Diceros bicornis minor: one gene and its partner. The protein of the gene in region 2 interacts with the protein of the main gene of each other region in a pairwise test. Links are inferred from orthologs where the notes say so. Each region holds a gene or a part of one and is shown on either strand. Other genes may lie near its edges.

Region 1 (7,793 bases), on a different chromosome or scaffold from region 2:
GGAGCAGTACAGAGGCTGCCCAGAAACACCAGGCAGCCTGGGCGGTGGCCATTCTTGGGACAGGATACCAGGGCAGGAACCGGGAACCGGAGCCGAGGCTGCCAGGAAGTCAGTCCCCTTCCCTCCCAGATCATTCTGTGCTCTGCTCACAGCTTCCTCACACCTTCCTTCCTTCCTCCCTCTCCTTCCAAGCTGGCCCCAGGCAGAACCCTGACAAAGGTCAAACCAAGTGAGGATGCTGGGGAAGAGGGGCAGGAGGTAAGGATCGTTATATACTGACCTTCTAGGGTAGGAGTTGGGAGCATGACAGGTGGGTGCTCTCTGGGCACTGGAGGATGAAGAGACCGGCCCTGGGGGTACTTTGAGAAGCCTAGCAAAATGGGATAACCACCTGTGGAAGAGGTGGTAGCACCAAAAGAATTTCTGTGCATTATGACGTTAATTCATGATTATCCCCTCTCCCTAGCATTTGGTTCCAAATCCTCAGTAAACTTAAGAAGAAAGCCTGAATATTAGGAGCTGCTGCCCCTCCTTCCCTCACATCTGTGGCAGCTGCCTAATGCTGAGGGGAGGGGCCATCTCACACAGCTGGAAGGACCTGGAGATCCCTGCAATGGGCAAGAGGGTGCTTGTAGACACTCAAGTCTGTCTGTCTTGTTGCTTGGAGTTGAGGGTAAGGGGGTGGTAATCAAGGAGAAGCAGAGGGGTGGGAGGGGAAGAGTGCAAGATTCCTATTTTAAATTTTATCTTTTCCCAAATTCAAGCAGTCCTGTAGTTCATCCCTAATTATTCCTTTAATGTCATACTCAATTGACTTCTTCCCTTAGCTTCTATTCAGCTTTGGGGAGTGGGGAGTGTGTTTATTCCTGTAATGAAGGAAGAAGAGGGCTCTAAGGCTCCAGAGTCAGTCTGGGAATGAGGGGAAGCAGGATACCTGGGCCTCAAAATGTTCGGTTCAGTCCAAGAAGCAAAATGGGTTGCCTATGGGCAGAGGGACAGGGCTAAGCCTTTAGCCCTTAGTCTAAGACAAGAAAGACCAAACCCAAGATGGGGGCATAAGGAGACACCTGGCATTGGATCAGGCAGGGCAGAGAAGGGCTGCCTGATGGCGAGGAGGGGGATGGGCCTGTGCCACTCTCCACTCCTCTGGTTGTCTCTGCCTACTTCTATTTCTGTTTCTCTCCCATCTCTCTGTCTTCCTCATCCATTGCCTTTCTCCCTGGTCTCCCAGTCTCTCTTTTCCTCCTTTCCTTTCAATGAGCTTTCATTCTATCCCACTTGATGGTAGCCATGAATACTTAGGACTCCTGGGTTCTGTGACTCAGTGGTCCCCATCTGAAGACTCAGAGCTGCTATACTGTTAGGAGGCAGTGAGCGTCCATGCTGTAAAGAGGTAGAGTAAGTTTGGTGGGGAGGGGCCTGGATTGGTTGGCTGCATACAGGTTGGTGATCCACCATTGCATTGTGTGTGACGATCTGCAGGAGAGAGTGAGGGGATGGCATGGCAGGGTGTGACTCTGTGGCCCTCTCCTTCATGCATGACAATACATGTACATGTGATGGGCACAGGTGTCAGGGAAGTGAGGAAGTAGGCAACCAGGGCAGCCGACAGCCTAGGGCATCTCTGGCAATTTCCCCAATGGAGTGTTTAACCACAAAGGGAAGAGCAATTAAAGCTAATCGCTCTGACAGCCTGGGGGCCAGACACATACTCTCTACATATTCAGCATGTTTCCCCTGACTCCCTGTGGTCACACCACCACCCTGCTTTCATCCTCCCTGATTGCTGAGCCTCTGTGGTCCATTCCCAGCACTCTTCCCACTCTTCTGACCATCTCGGTCTCTCACTTCCTCCTTGTCCCTGTCCCTGTCTGTCTGTCTGTCCCTCTCTCCATCTGTCTCCCTCTCACACACATTCTCCTCATTCTCTCTCTCTGACTTGGGCTCCATCCTTGGCTGACTAATATTCATTCTTTCTTTTTCTCCCTCTCCCTTTCTTCCACCCCCTCCTCCATCCCTTGGCCACTCTGATGCCCAGAAACCAGCCACTCCCAGCACCCTTAGCTCTAACTGGACCCAGCAAGAGAGGCCACCAGCAGCCCATACCCAACCTACTCACCCAGTTTCAGAGCACCAGGCTCACTCGCACTCAAGATCCTGTCTCCCTGTCCTGAAGTGAGGCAAAGATTTTCTTGCATCTTTTCCCACTGTTTTAAAGAGAGGCGATCTGAAGCCCAGGGCTGGGAGAAGGTGCCCGGAAAATTAGGGTGGACTTGGGGATAGTGGCCCCCACTCAGCTGTCCTGTTAGATTGCTGTTCTTCCAAGAAGACTTACACATGGGAGACTGAGGGGGTGAGGTGGGGGGTTGGATGTGTAGTGCAGCGACGTTTGTGATTTGCTGTGTGCGAGACGATGTGTCTAAGAGTCACATGGGTGTGTGTCACCGTGTGTACTGGTGTGTGTCTTCTTGTAGGTGTGTGTGTCTCTGTCAGTTTTGACATGGATTATATGAAATTAATTAGGGGTTTTACAGTTAGCTACTTCACTCCTCTACACCCCCAGCTCCTTCCTCCTTACCTCCGGACAAGCCTTCCCCAATTCCACCTCTTCCCCAGGTGCAGAGGCTAGCGTGAGGGCACATGGTGCCAGCAGCCGGGTTGAGCCCTCGGAGCAGGGGCGGCAGCCCGGGTAACTGAGGCAGGGCTGGGCCGGGAGACCGCCAGCCCAGGCGAGGCCGGAGCCAGAGAAGGGGAGGGAGGGGCGGGAGCTGGCTCGGCCGAGCCGGCTGGGCGGGAAGCAGGCTCCATCCTAATCCCCAGGCCCCGGTCCGACTCCCAAACTGCCGTTCAGCATGGAATGGGCGGCCAAAGCCACGCCGCCTGCAGCACCCTCTCGGCGCTCAGAACGCACCGACAGAGACGGAGCCCGTGCGGCCTGACACAGAGCGGACCCGTCCGGGGCCCCCGCTCCCCATCTGGCCCGGGGCGTCCCGGATCGACGCCCCTCCGAGTCCAGACCCCAAATCTGCCCCCTCCCCGCGACACATCTCCTCTCCGCCCTCTCACCGCCTCCGGGGCTGAGCGCTCAGGGCGCGGGCACTCGGGTGTCCCCGGTTCCTGAGGAGCGTCCGGAGCCTCCTCCTCAGCTCCCGCCGCCGCCGCTTCTGCCGCCGCCGCCGCCGCCGCCTCTTCCGCCCGCGGAGCCCGAGCCCGAGCCCAGCGCCGCCTCACCCCACCCGGCCGGCCCGTGATGTCAGAGCCGGGGAGGGGCGGGGGGCGGGGAGCGGCGGGAGGGGGAGGGGAGGCAGCCGGGGGCTGGGGTTCTGGAAGGCTCCTGGCATGGGGGACAGAAATGGGGGAGGGCTAGAGTAGGTACGCTGCCTCTTCCGTAAACCGCAAAACCCAAATCTCAGATTTAATTCTTTCCCGATGGGACAGTCCCCTCCCCTTATGACCTTTCGGTGGCCACAGTGGCTAGGACCCTGGGAGGCACAGAGTGAGTTAGGGTTTAGGGGTTTGGAAGGCCTTTGACCTCTGGGTCCTCTTAGACTTGGTATTTGGAAAACCTCTTTCCCTCCCCTTATGAGTCAGGGGAGCTCAGACTTACCCTCACTGGGTGGTGGGGTTGGCAGTAGGGGTTGGGGCTCAGACGCAACATGGGACCTCCTTCCCTTGACCTGGAGCCATGGATCTTTTTCTCTCCAGGATGATTCCAGCGGCCCCCTTGTGTTCCTCTCACCTTTCCCAAATATACCACCCTCCAGCCTTCCCCCTACCATGATGTAATTTTATTTTCTGGGGAGAAGAAGAGCAGCAGTGAGCTCAGCATGCAAATATAGACAACTTGCAAAGCCACTTAGCTCTGTCTCCTAGCTCTGCCCCTGCTCAGGCCCAGCATGGCAGCTCTCACTTCCCCTCCACCCCAGGGACTTTCCTCCCTCAGATTCTCAGCCAGACTGAAAGAGGGAAGGAAGAAGCAGGGAAGCATCTGTTTTCACCCCCACCTCCAGCCTAAGGGGTCCCACCTCAACTCTGGCAGAGTCTGGCCTGGGAAGAGGTCTGAGTCCCATCAGTGTCTGTACCACCTCTGGGAACCCCCTGGCCTCATGCCAGTTCCCACCTGGCAGAGACCCCTCAGGAAGCCTCAGGTGAGCCTCTCATTTCTTGGGTCTACACTGCTCCTCGAAGAGGCTCAGGCTCAGCTCCTGCTGCTTTGGGGTTCCACAGCCCTTTTCTTTGCTCTTCACCATCTCCTCCCCCAGTGCACCCTGTCACTACCCCTTTGATAGTAAGGCACTCTCATAATTTACCTTTGTGTGTATCACATTTGTTCTGTGTTGCAGCGCCAAAAATGATTTTGTTGACCCATCTTTGAGACTTGGAGAAGCTAAATGACTTATCTACAGTCAGTGAAAGGTTCAGGTCTCCCAGAGGCAACCAGGTACAGGGGACTTGGGCTCATGCTAGCTCTGCTCCTTTCTGGGGCACGTTATGCCCCTGAGCCTGAGTGTCCTCTCTGGTAAGATGGTGATGCTGATTCCTATCTGACAGAGTTCTTCTGAGATCTAGAAATCGTCAGTCTCCTAGGGCCTGGCATAGATGGGTACTTAAAACACATGAGATATTAGTCCGAGGCCTTTCACTGACCTATGCTAGAGAGTAAGCTCCATAATACTATTGTATTGGCCCAGTGCCCATAATGTATATTAAACATTTATTACATGGGTACAAGTTGGATGAATACATGGTTTCTACTCTACAGTCCTGCCACCTTCTCTAGGAACACTCCCTGGATTTGTCTGTAGAGGGTGAGTGAAAACTTCTGTAACCTCAGGTCTCATTCTTCCATGCTTATAAATCCTTTAAGTCTCGCAGCAACCCTTTTATACCTGATCCATGAAAACCGTAACGTCTATTAGTTATGGGCTTATTCAGTTGCTTGGTTCCACCACCCTGACTCCTTTATATTTACCCCAGCCTGGGCTGTGCTGGAGAGCATGTGGATCCTTCCTGCCAGGAACTACAGGAGGTCCAGGGGGACCCCTGTTGTACAAAACTCAACATTTCCTCTCCATTCCTGTGACCACCACTCACTTCCATATTCTCCCAACTTCACCCCGATTATTATAACAGTCTCTGATTATATGAGTTGGGCTCCCTGCCTCTGATATCTCCATCAGCTCCCCTCCCTATAACCATCCTGCTCATCACTGCCAGATTAAATTTTGCCCTTTCCCCCCTTCTTACAGGATTAAATGCAAACACCTCTACAGCTGAGCCCCATTATGCCCACCCAACCTCATGACCATCACTTGAACTCCTCTTCTTGTCTCTCTGGTTTCTTCTGGGCCCCAATATGACACACACATTCTGCCAGGGCTTTTGATGTCTCCACCGACTGAAATGTCCCCTCCCCAACTCCTTTGCCCCCAGTCAAATCCCACTCTTCATTTAAGGCCTAGAAAATGCTCACTTCCTTTTTGAAGCCATCAAAGCCCACTCTGATCTCTCTCCTCTGAGCCCATTCTGTTCATTTGTTCCTTCTTTTAGCATTTATTAGGGACTACTTTTTGCATGTCAGGCCCTGTGGAAACAGAGAAAAGCCTGGGTTCCTGCCTTCAAGGGGCTCACAGTCTAGTGGGGAGGACAGACGTGTAAATGAAGAACTATGATAGAACAAACTGAATATCAGAATAGAGGTGTATATAGAGAGTGCAGTGTGAACCCAGAGGAGGAAACTGCAGGAGGGGCCACCTCTGGGAAGGCCTCCTTGAGGAAGTGTTATTTGGGCTCAGTCTCGACGTTCAATAAGAGCTGCAGGGAGGGTGCTATCAAGCAGCACATAATCACTTAATTACATATTGCTTTGTATTTTTCTTCAATTGTTGAGTGTGTTTGTCTTGACTTCCCAGTGAGGCTAAACAGCTCGAGAGCAGGGACAGGCCCAGCACTCTCTGTTCTCCCAGAGCCTAATAGTGGTGCTGGACAAACACCATGTGTTCAGAAAAGGCTTGTTGACTTGCGGCAGATAAATAATCCAAGCTTCTCTGGGATAACTGCCTGGAGGGAGCCCCAACCCCCCCACCACAGTACCCTAACAAGTCACCCACACCTAAATCTCCCAGTCTCTGGCTGCCTCTTTCCTGGCATAGGGGTGAGACCTCATCAGCAGACACTTGCTCATGCTGCCCCAGATCCTTTATTGAGGCCTCTCATTTGACCCAAATACATTAACAAGAGATTGGTGAGATGCAGCCCCAGACAAAGTACCCCCCCTTCCTCCTGGCCAGGGATAGGACAGTCAGAAGGATATAGGATTTGAGAGAGTCAGGGGAGAGTGTGCACAAGTGGAGGGAACAGAATCGAGATGGGGGCCCACAGATATGGCAAGAGGAAAATCACAAGAAAGAGTGTAGGGAGTGATGGAAGAAACAAATACTAGATACAGGGACATTGTGCGACAGGAAACAGAAGTCAGATGAGATAGCTGGGCTGGTACCTAGGGAAAAGTAGCTCCTTTCTTCATCAGGTGAGGGGGATCAGAGTCTCAGCACTCAGCATATAAACCCCAATGGGCCCTGTGGCAGAGAATGACCTGGTGTCCCTGGAGGAGCTCAGGGAAGCACAGGGAAGGCAGGAGGGAGCCTGAGGAGAGCAGGCGGGGCTGGGAGATGGTTGCCACAGCAACTAGTCATCATCGTCGTCATCATCATCGTCTTCGTCATCATCCTCTGTGTTGATCTCGCCTGCCAGCACATCCTCCAGCCAGTCCTCCAGCTCCTCAGCAGAAGGCAGGTCCTCCTCGTCGTCCATCTCCAACCATACACTGTCCGCCTAGGACATGGCACAGACAGGGGACCAGAGCTAAGCCTGACTCAGGTCTTTGGACCCATCCTTCCCCTCACTGGACTCTGTACATCCTTCCCTACATCCTCTGTCCCTTCCCTTTATCTGTCAATGGCCAGAGAAACTGTCCAGGTGAAGGTCTAGGTTAGAATAGTGACAGTGGGAGTAGAAACAATGGTTGGTAGGAAGAATGGTTGGACTGGCAAATAGACCTTCTCCCTTCAATCTTTCTTCCAACCTCTTGACATGCTGAGCTTCCTAAAACAGACCTCTCGGGGCCGGCCCAGTGGCGCAAGCGGTTAAGTGCGCGCGCTCCGCTGCGGCAGCCCGGGGTTCGCCAGTTCGGATCCCGGCGCACACCGATGCACTGCTTGTTAAGCCATGCTGTGGCGGCGTCCCATATAAAGTGGAGGAAGATGGGCATGGATGTTAGCCCAGGGCCAGTCTTCCTCAGCAATAAAAAGAGGAGGATTGGCAGATGTTAGCACAGGGCTGATCTCCTCACAAAAAATAAAAAAATTAAAAAATAATAATAAAACAGACCTCTCTATCATGCCCTTGATGCAAAACCACTGGTGGCTCTTCCTGGACTAGAATATAAAGTCAGTGACTCTCCAGCATTCAAGGCTTTTCATAACCTGCTTTTCCAGCACCATCCTCAGAGATCTCTAGACTCTCAAGCCATAAAAAACTACTTGCCTTTTCCTGAACCTGATATTCATTTTCCTACTTTTGACGCTTTGCACTAACTTTCCCATCAATTTGGAAATCACTTCTCGTAATTTTCACTTGTAGAACTCCTATACATTGTACAATCTCCACTTTAAATGCCACTCCTTTTAAACTCTTATCTGATTCTCTCAAGCAGAAAACGCTGTGATTTCTGTGCCTTCCTAGCATTTTATTTGTATCTTTATTATAGAGTTTATCAGATCTGGCCTTGTAGT
Region 2 (7,739 bases):
GCAACACGCGTCACACATTAAATCATGAACGCCAGTTGGTGGGCACAGCGAGGCGAGAACAGAGAGCGCCTTGTTCCAGCGTGTCTATCTAATTTCAAACTAGTTGCTTAAGTACAAGCTTCTGTTCTGGTTATAGCCAAAGGAAAATTAAACAGTTGAAATATTGTAAATCTTGTCATTCACCCTGGATCACCAATCAGAACTAAATAGGACAGCTTTGAGCAAAGAATCCAAGCAAATCGTTAGCGCTCCCTGCAGATGGAAGCCTGAAGAACAGCAGGACCCACTCGTTAGGCTCTGCACTCCCTATGCCTTCCTCCCGGATCAGGTTCTAGCGAATATGATAACAGGGATGGGCTCTTCATTGCACTCGTCTATGCTCATGACTACGGCTCCGTAGAGTCCGGTGGCAGATGCCACATTCCACCCCTGGGACTGGCCCGGGGAGCCGTGTCTTCTTGGGCTGCGGCTTCTCTGAGGTTTCAGGCAGGTTGGGGTTGCCTCCCTTTTCCTCCTCTGGGTCTGTGTGATGAGCTAACGAGCAGATACATGTGAAAGCGCTTTGTTGACACAAATGAAGGGGTTACTACTTTTATTATTTTAGGGTGTGGAGTTGGTGGAGGAAAGAACATAAGTCAGAAGTCCTGCATTTGAATCCTGGATCATCTCATACGAGGTCCTCCCTTTTCTGAATGCTTTTTCTAAGTATCTTCCTGTGGTTTTTTCTTTTCCCCTTAAATCAGATGTTCCTTACTTTTGTGTATGTGTGCCACGAGACCTCTTTGGCATCCTAGTGAAGCTAATGAATCCCTTTTCAGAGTAATGTTTAATGCATAAAGCTAAATGCATAAATTTAAATGCATAAAATTAGAATGCTTAGGATTACAAAGGAAACCAATTATACTGATATAGTTATCAATATACCGCCAAAAATGTAATATTGTAATACATGTCCTTTATTAATGCATTACATACCAAGAGCTAGTGGCAGGTCTAATAACTACTGTAATTCTGAAGTAGCAGTGAGTGGACATCATACTTTGAGATATTTGCAACTGTTATGTGATATGAAGATATCTTTGATTTCTACTTGTGACAAGTCATAGGTATGGCTAATTCTACTGTGGATTGTTGCCTACATTTGCGATTGAAGGAAATGGTAAATTTTTGTTAGAGGTTAGTAAAAATTAAAATGAAACTTTTCCTCACCCATGTCCTGAATTCTGTCTGAGATGCTCAGAAACCCCTTGCCTTGGACTGCACTCTTTCCTCTTATGCTGTGTGCTCTTCAGGGGCAAACTCACTGCACCTGCTGCTGCCCTCCAGCTGCAATTTGCCTGTGCGTGCAATGACTCCTAGATATGTACCTCCTGTCCTAACAGGGCACTGGAGCGCCAGATCTGTGTCTCCTGCAGCCCGCTGCACATCCACCCTTGATGGCCCACAGGACCTCACACTCAGCCTCCAAAAGCCACCTCCTTGGCCTGGCCATCCCACCTCCCCTCCTCCAGCCTGCTCTTCCTCCTGTGTTCCCAGCTCTGAGGATGGCACTAACAGCCTCTGCATGGCTCTGGCCCCAAACCTAGCTTGAGCAAGGGAACTAGTGAGCACCGCTGCTGCCAGGATTACCACCTCAGCCTCCTTGATGATGTTCGTGACAGTGTAAAGTTGTACGTTTTAAAGCACTGGTCTGCCCTTCCCTTCACCTGGAATGTCTTCTAAATTTCTACTCACCCTACAAGGCTTGGTTCCCCCTTATTTATCTTTCCAACATGCACAGCTAGTTGCTTTCTGGTTTAAAATTTTGGTGGCGCCTCTTTGACTCCATGACGTGACATCAGAAGACTCCTGCCTCCCTCGCAGTGTTTTCTTCTGCTGGTCCCCTAGCCTCACCAAGCTTCCTTGGTCCCTCCAATGGCCTTCTCTCCATTTCCCCCTTTGCCTTGGCAGGCCCAGTGAGGGCCCTCTGCCTGGGGATCCCTTACCTGCCATGTCGCCTTCAGGTCTCAGTTCTGTGGCTGCTTTGCTGAAAAGCCTTTCCCAGCCTGTGTCACCATGGGGACTGCTCACAGAGCAGTTCTTGTGCAACTATCTCCCCATCCCTTTCATTTGACCAGAGTCTGGCAGGGTTTCACAAGTGGCGTGCACTTGGAGGACAGAATTATTAAAGTACATGGTCAGAAGCATTGACTTCAGAGCCAAATGGCTTGGGTTCTAATCCCAGCTCCACCAGAGCTGTTTGATCTTGGCAACATACATACCCCTTAGGTGCCTCAGTTCGCTCATCTGTAAAACTAGTGTAATAATAGAGGTGTGAGATTTAAATGAGTTGATGCTTGTAAAGCACTTCAGAACCATGCCTAGCTTATAGTGAGAGCTTAAATATTAGCTAGTATTCTTAGTTTTAGCTTCAGTAGTGTGGCTTGGGCTCATTTAAAAGTCACATCCTACTATACTTTTATTTTTGCTGGAGTTTTATTAGACTGTAGTGTAATTTGAAACCCAATATTTAACTTCAGCTCCATTGAGGTTGATATGGGATGTTGATTTTAGCAGAAATAATTTATATGAGACAAAAGGAAATACTTTTTAACAGAAAGGTAGGAAAAATCCTGGGGATACAGCCTTTTAACAGAATGATGGAGACATCGTCCCACCGGTAGTTATATAGTTGAATTGGGGATTTATCCGTATTTCTTCCATTTCAAAGATGACATTGACCTCACAGGAATTTTCCTTGCAGCTCTTTGGGTAAAGGAGAGATCAATATTATTTATCAGAGGATTTCTCTGAGAATGCAAATCATCATATAAGTTTGCAAACCAGATCTACATCAAAGAGATGGTTTCGAATGTAATTACTTTATTTTTGCATAAGTATTTTCATATCCTCTAGAAATATTTTGCTCTTGTGGGAAAAAAACTTTTCAGGATCCTTACCACAAATTGTATGTGACATTAATGTGCCCTTATAACTGATCCTTCTCTTCCTTTTTGTTTTTCTTCCAGCATCCAAGTACATCATAATACTTCCCCTGAGGTTTCCAGCCTTTTCTTGGTTTTGCCACCAGGTGGCGCACTGACTCCTTTGTAAGGCACGGGCCGCATGCCTTGAGGCTAGTTTTCTCACTGAGGTAGGTGACTGGCTTGCCTCCCTCATTCTAAAGTGACCCCGTGAGAAACTGTGGAGCCCTGACCTGAGAGTGGGTGGGGGAGGCAGGCGGGGCGAGTGGTAGACCTGAGGGAGTCTCCAGGTTTTTCATGCCTGATCTTGTTGAGCTAATATGCTAATGGCTTATTTTTCATCGGTTTTGAGTAACTTGAATTTTACAAGAAATACACGTAAATCTATTCTGCAACAAGTAAATCAAGTTTTCCTTGGACTATTTGGTCTGATCTTATGGTTTAGAAGAAACAATAAAGTGAGGTAACCTTGACCATTATGTTAATTAGGTCTTATTTAAATAAAATAGAAATCATGGAGGCAAACCATTAGAATTAAAACTGTTCTTGGAGTTGAAAACTAGGGGAAAGTTGTGTATACTGTGAACACATTATGTTGAGTAGCAGAGCATGGATTCTTATTCTTTCTTAAGCAATATGCTGCAACATTATTGACTGTTTTCAGATAAAAATGCCTTAAGGAAATTATCAAATACATTTTTTTAGAATGAAAAATAAATTTAAAGTTCTAACTTTGAAACCATAGTGAATGATATTAAGTTCCATTTTAAACTATAAAAAAACTACAAAAAATATTTATCTTATAAATATAACCTAAACGTAGATGGTGAAACTGAATTATGAGTGATTTTCAGATTTACAGACACCAAGTCAGAATCAGAAGTTAGAAGGTGCTTTGATAAATTTTCCCCGTGAACTTCATTAATTTTTAGACTTTAGTGGTGAGTGAGAGGCTTATTTAATGCTATGCCCCTGCCAAAAAATCGGAAAATAGTGATAGTATGGGACTTTGCTTCTCAGAAACAATAACTTCACGTGTCCCTCTTACGCAATGTGAAATCACAGTGCTACATGTCCACCACTGGCACCCAACTCCAACAACAATATAAAACTCATTTTATGGCCCAATGGAGGGCAGACTGTATGCCTCTTAAAATGAATGATTCACTTTAATACAGTGTCTGGGGGAGAGAAGGGAGTGAGAGTTCTTCTAGGGGAGAAAGGGGAGTACGAGTTCTGTTTGTTTAAGTTTGTGTTATAGTTTTCTTGGGCAGCAGTACAAAAGTGAAGCCTGAAGCGTTAGCTCATTCTGTACATGAGTTTTATTTCTCACAGCAGCCTAGTGTCTATTTAACATACGGGGAGTGGTTTCAAGTTCATTACCACAGCTTATAGGCTAAAGTGCTTTGTGGGCTTGGCTGTGACTTAAATTGCCTTTAGGGAGTCGGCCAAAAACGGGGTTGGGAACAGACTGCTTTCCCTGTGTCTGTGGATTCTCAGGGTGGTCAGATTTTTCCCCTCTCCCTCTCGGCTATCAGCTGCTTTGGAGACTAGTTTCATTGTGAGAATTCTTTCTTTAAAGCAAAATGGAGCGACTGCTTTCACAGGGGTGCCAGGTTAGTAAATAACATTTTGAACTTGCTGCTGCATGTGTCACATTTTCTCTCTGTGCTCAGGGGCAATGATGTGACAGTTAGCATTGCATTTGTGCTGTTGCTGCGTTCTTTTAGAAAATAATGCTAGTTCGTTGATCCTGCCGAGGTTTGGGGGTTATGATTCTTCTTATAATATATGCATTGTTTGACAATATTAAACGCAAGTGGAAGCCAAGAAGAAATAACATATATGTGTTGGATTTGCAGTTACAGGTTTGGACTTGCTTGTAAGCATTTTCAGTTCCTTTTTTAGAATTACTTTCTTTGTGTCCACCCATTAAATCTTCTAGGCATAAGTCTGATTTTATACACAGGTGATTTTGGGTTTTTTGGACATTAGGCAGCCGTGTGTTGCCCCCGCTAGCGGTGTTGTCGCTCACACACTCATGCATGCTCGTCTCATGCATGGTTTTACCTTGGGCCTACTCCTTATAGTTACAATGAACCAGAATATCATTTTCATTTTCTCTTCGAAAAGTCTGGCATTTTTCTAGAATGCCTCATAAAATACCTGCATAGCAGTTTATGTGGGCAGAATGTACAGGTGGATCAAGCTGGACTGAATCCCTTCCTTAGTTGTCACTGTTTTTATTCTCAAGTGATTCCTCAAAATCTGAGATCACTCTAGGAGTAAATATGACTGTAAAAATGGAGTGTGGCTTATAAAAGATAAAAGTATTGCTAATAGTAATAAGATGAAATTGTCAATAAAATTAAGTACCAAGAGAATATCTTCCTTAATTTCATCAACTTAAAGATCTAGAGAGCAATTTTACTTTTGTTAATTTGTCACCAAAGCAATTCGGCACGAAGTAGTTCCATAAGAACAGTAGTTCAATTTGATGATGTTTTAATGTTTGCAGCACTTTATGAAATATTCTTGCTTTTATGTTACTTTAAGGACGCTTCACTTCAAGGGAATGTACTAGTGTTTTAAAATATGCTAATATGCTTATGTCGTTGCCATTTTATTCTCTTCTTTTTCCCGCTTGGAAATACAGTGTTTCAGAAAGGGTCTGTTCTCTCATGTTCTCCTCTGTTTAAAAAAATAAAATTGAAGGGAAAGGGAGACAGAAATAGGTACTTAAAAAACAATCTTTGAGGCGATTTGCTAAACTTTAAGGATCCCAGTTTCCATCTCTAGGGCTGAGGCTGGAGTTGTGCAGTTATGGCTGCCTGCCAGTCAGGCTTACCAACTTGACCCCTGCGTACCCCCAGACGCAATTGTACAGCTGTATTACCGCCCCCGCCTTTAACAGCAGATCCACTAGGCCATTTGAGCTTACCAGGAAAAATCAAAGGTGGCTATGACTTGCTTATTTACGCTATTACTGCATATATGTGCTATTATCAATTATTAAATGCTGTTAATTTAAATTTTAAAGGAAGACTTGTCAATCTGATTGTAGCTGCCCAATGATTTTAAAGAACAATGTTAAGACATTTTACTCATTGATTACTTGTTTGTGTTTAATTGGCATGGATAAAAGTCTTAAAAAGCCCACATAAAGCTCATTTATGTCTGGTAGATCTTAGTTTCGGTGTTCCCAAGTGCTTCACAGCCTCTTCTTCAAGAGATGATAATAAAACAAAATAGCATTGATTAGAAACTGAAATAAACAATGTGGCCAAGGATAGAATAAGAGGGGAAACTCCCTAAAAACCAGATTTTAGGGTTTTCCCAAAGAATATTCATTAAAATAAGTTTCTACCAAAACTGGGGAGAAAAAAAAAGACTGTATAGTAGTGTTCAAAATCTGTCATTTTGGGATAAATCTTATTTCTGATTCTAGGTTTGGAACATGTAGCACTGCAATTCTGATTCTCATCTTGCTGGACTGGTCTAGTTTTGTTACATCTCTGCCTTTTGGCTAAAACCATGTAGAGACAGGCATTTTTCTCGTTCCGTACCATCTAATTTTAAGCTTTGAGCTGATTAATTTTTATCCAACATGCTTTCTTGTTGATATTGCAAGTATCTAGATGTCTCTTAAATCTTACATGGCTTATGAACCTAGCTGATGATCTAGGAGCATGTGATTCTTATTTTCCTTTAAAGTGAATCTGAGTTTTGAAGTTGAAAACAGATTCTTAGGCAAACTATTTCAACGTGAATTGGCCCACACCGGAAACATTGGGAAAATTAAATGGCAGTAGAAGATAAGGACTCTGAGGGAAGAAATGAATAACTAGGAGTAATTGTGATATTAAAAGTGGGTTTTCTGACTGCTGAACCTTGAAAATTTTTCACCTATCCACCAGTTCCATTCACACCCCAGAGCATTCGTTCCCGTTCATAGTCTTGATCTTCACGGTGCCTGTTTCGGGAGGTGTCAGCTCTTGATCTGCAGTTTCTGGCCTTTGTAGATTCATGTAATGGCTACAGTGAACAGTGCCACCCCTGTCTTTTTCAGGCCTACCCCCCGCCCCGCCCCCGCTTCTTCCTGCCATTAACCCTGCTCACTGAAGGTGCCAACGTGCATGGGTCTTGTGATTACATATCAAAAGGTGGGGACAGAAAGCAGGGTAGACTATGATGTCACCCATCCCAGGAGTTTACTATTTCAGTAATAACAGTAAATACTAACTTCCCAAAGGGATTGCAAAGGCTGAGCTGATCTGACCAAGGACCTCCCCAGTCCCATCTTTCCTTCTGAAGAACCCAATTTAAGTTTGACTTTCTGGCATTTCTGGGGGTGATGGTAACAGTAGTCATGGCAGGAGTAGTAGAGGTGGTAGAAAGAGTAATAATAATACCCAATACTCAGAAAACGTTTCCTAAGGGCAGTCCCTGTACTAAGCCTCTTATTTTATCCTCACAACAAGCCTAAAAGGTCAATTGTCTTTATTATCCCCATTTTGCAGTTGAGGAAACTGTCCCAGGAAGGTTAGGTAATTTGTCCCAAGTTGTAGCAGCCAGTAAGCAGCAGGATCACTATTGTGCCTCAGAGAGGTGCTGTGGTGGGAAATTGATATGAGAAGTTGACGTTCTTGGGCAATATAATCCAATATTTGTTATGAATGAGAAGCAACCATGTAAATACTGATGTCTGTGCTGCTCTTCATACTCAAAGATGCTTCTGTTGACCCACTGTCAACCAACCGACTGTCAACACTGTCA

The links.
Region 1: the proteins of PLD1 (region 2) and PEA15 interact in a two-hybrid assay, tested with the Homo sapiens proteins (2 studies listed by BioGRID). The link is inferred for Diceros bicornis minor from reciprocal best matches to the Homo sapiens genes PLD1 and PEA15.

Annotation. Positions count from the first base shown.
Region 1 is NC_080743.1:64,879,905-64,887,697, reverse strand, and holds the start of PEA15 (astrocytic phosphoprotein PEA-15), read right to left. Parts: upstream 3,179-7,793; 5' UTR 3,067-3,178; intron 1-3,066. Other genes in the region: CASQ1 (calsequestrin-1), read right to left, coding at 6,688-6,834. UniProt on the Homo sapiens protein: Blocks Ras-mediated inhibition of integrin activation and modulates the ERK MAP kinase cascade. Inhibits RPS6KA3 activities by retaining it in the cytoplasm. Inhibits both TNFRSF6- and TNFRSF1A-mediated CASP8 activity and apoptosis.
Region 2 is NC_080754.1:50,325,622-50,333,360, forward strand, and holds the start of PLD1 (phospholipase D1), read left to right. Parts: upstream 1-4,442; 5' UTR 4,443-4,579; intron 4,580-7,739. UniProt on the Homo sapiens protein: Function as phospholipase selective for phosphatidylcholine. Implicated as a critical step in numerous cellular pathways, including signal transduction, membrane trafficking, and the regulation of mitosis.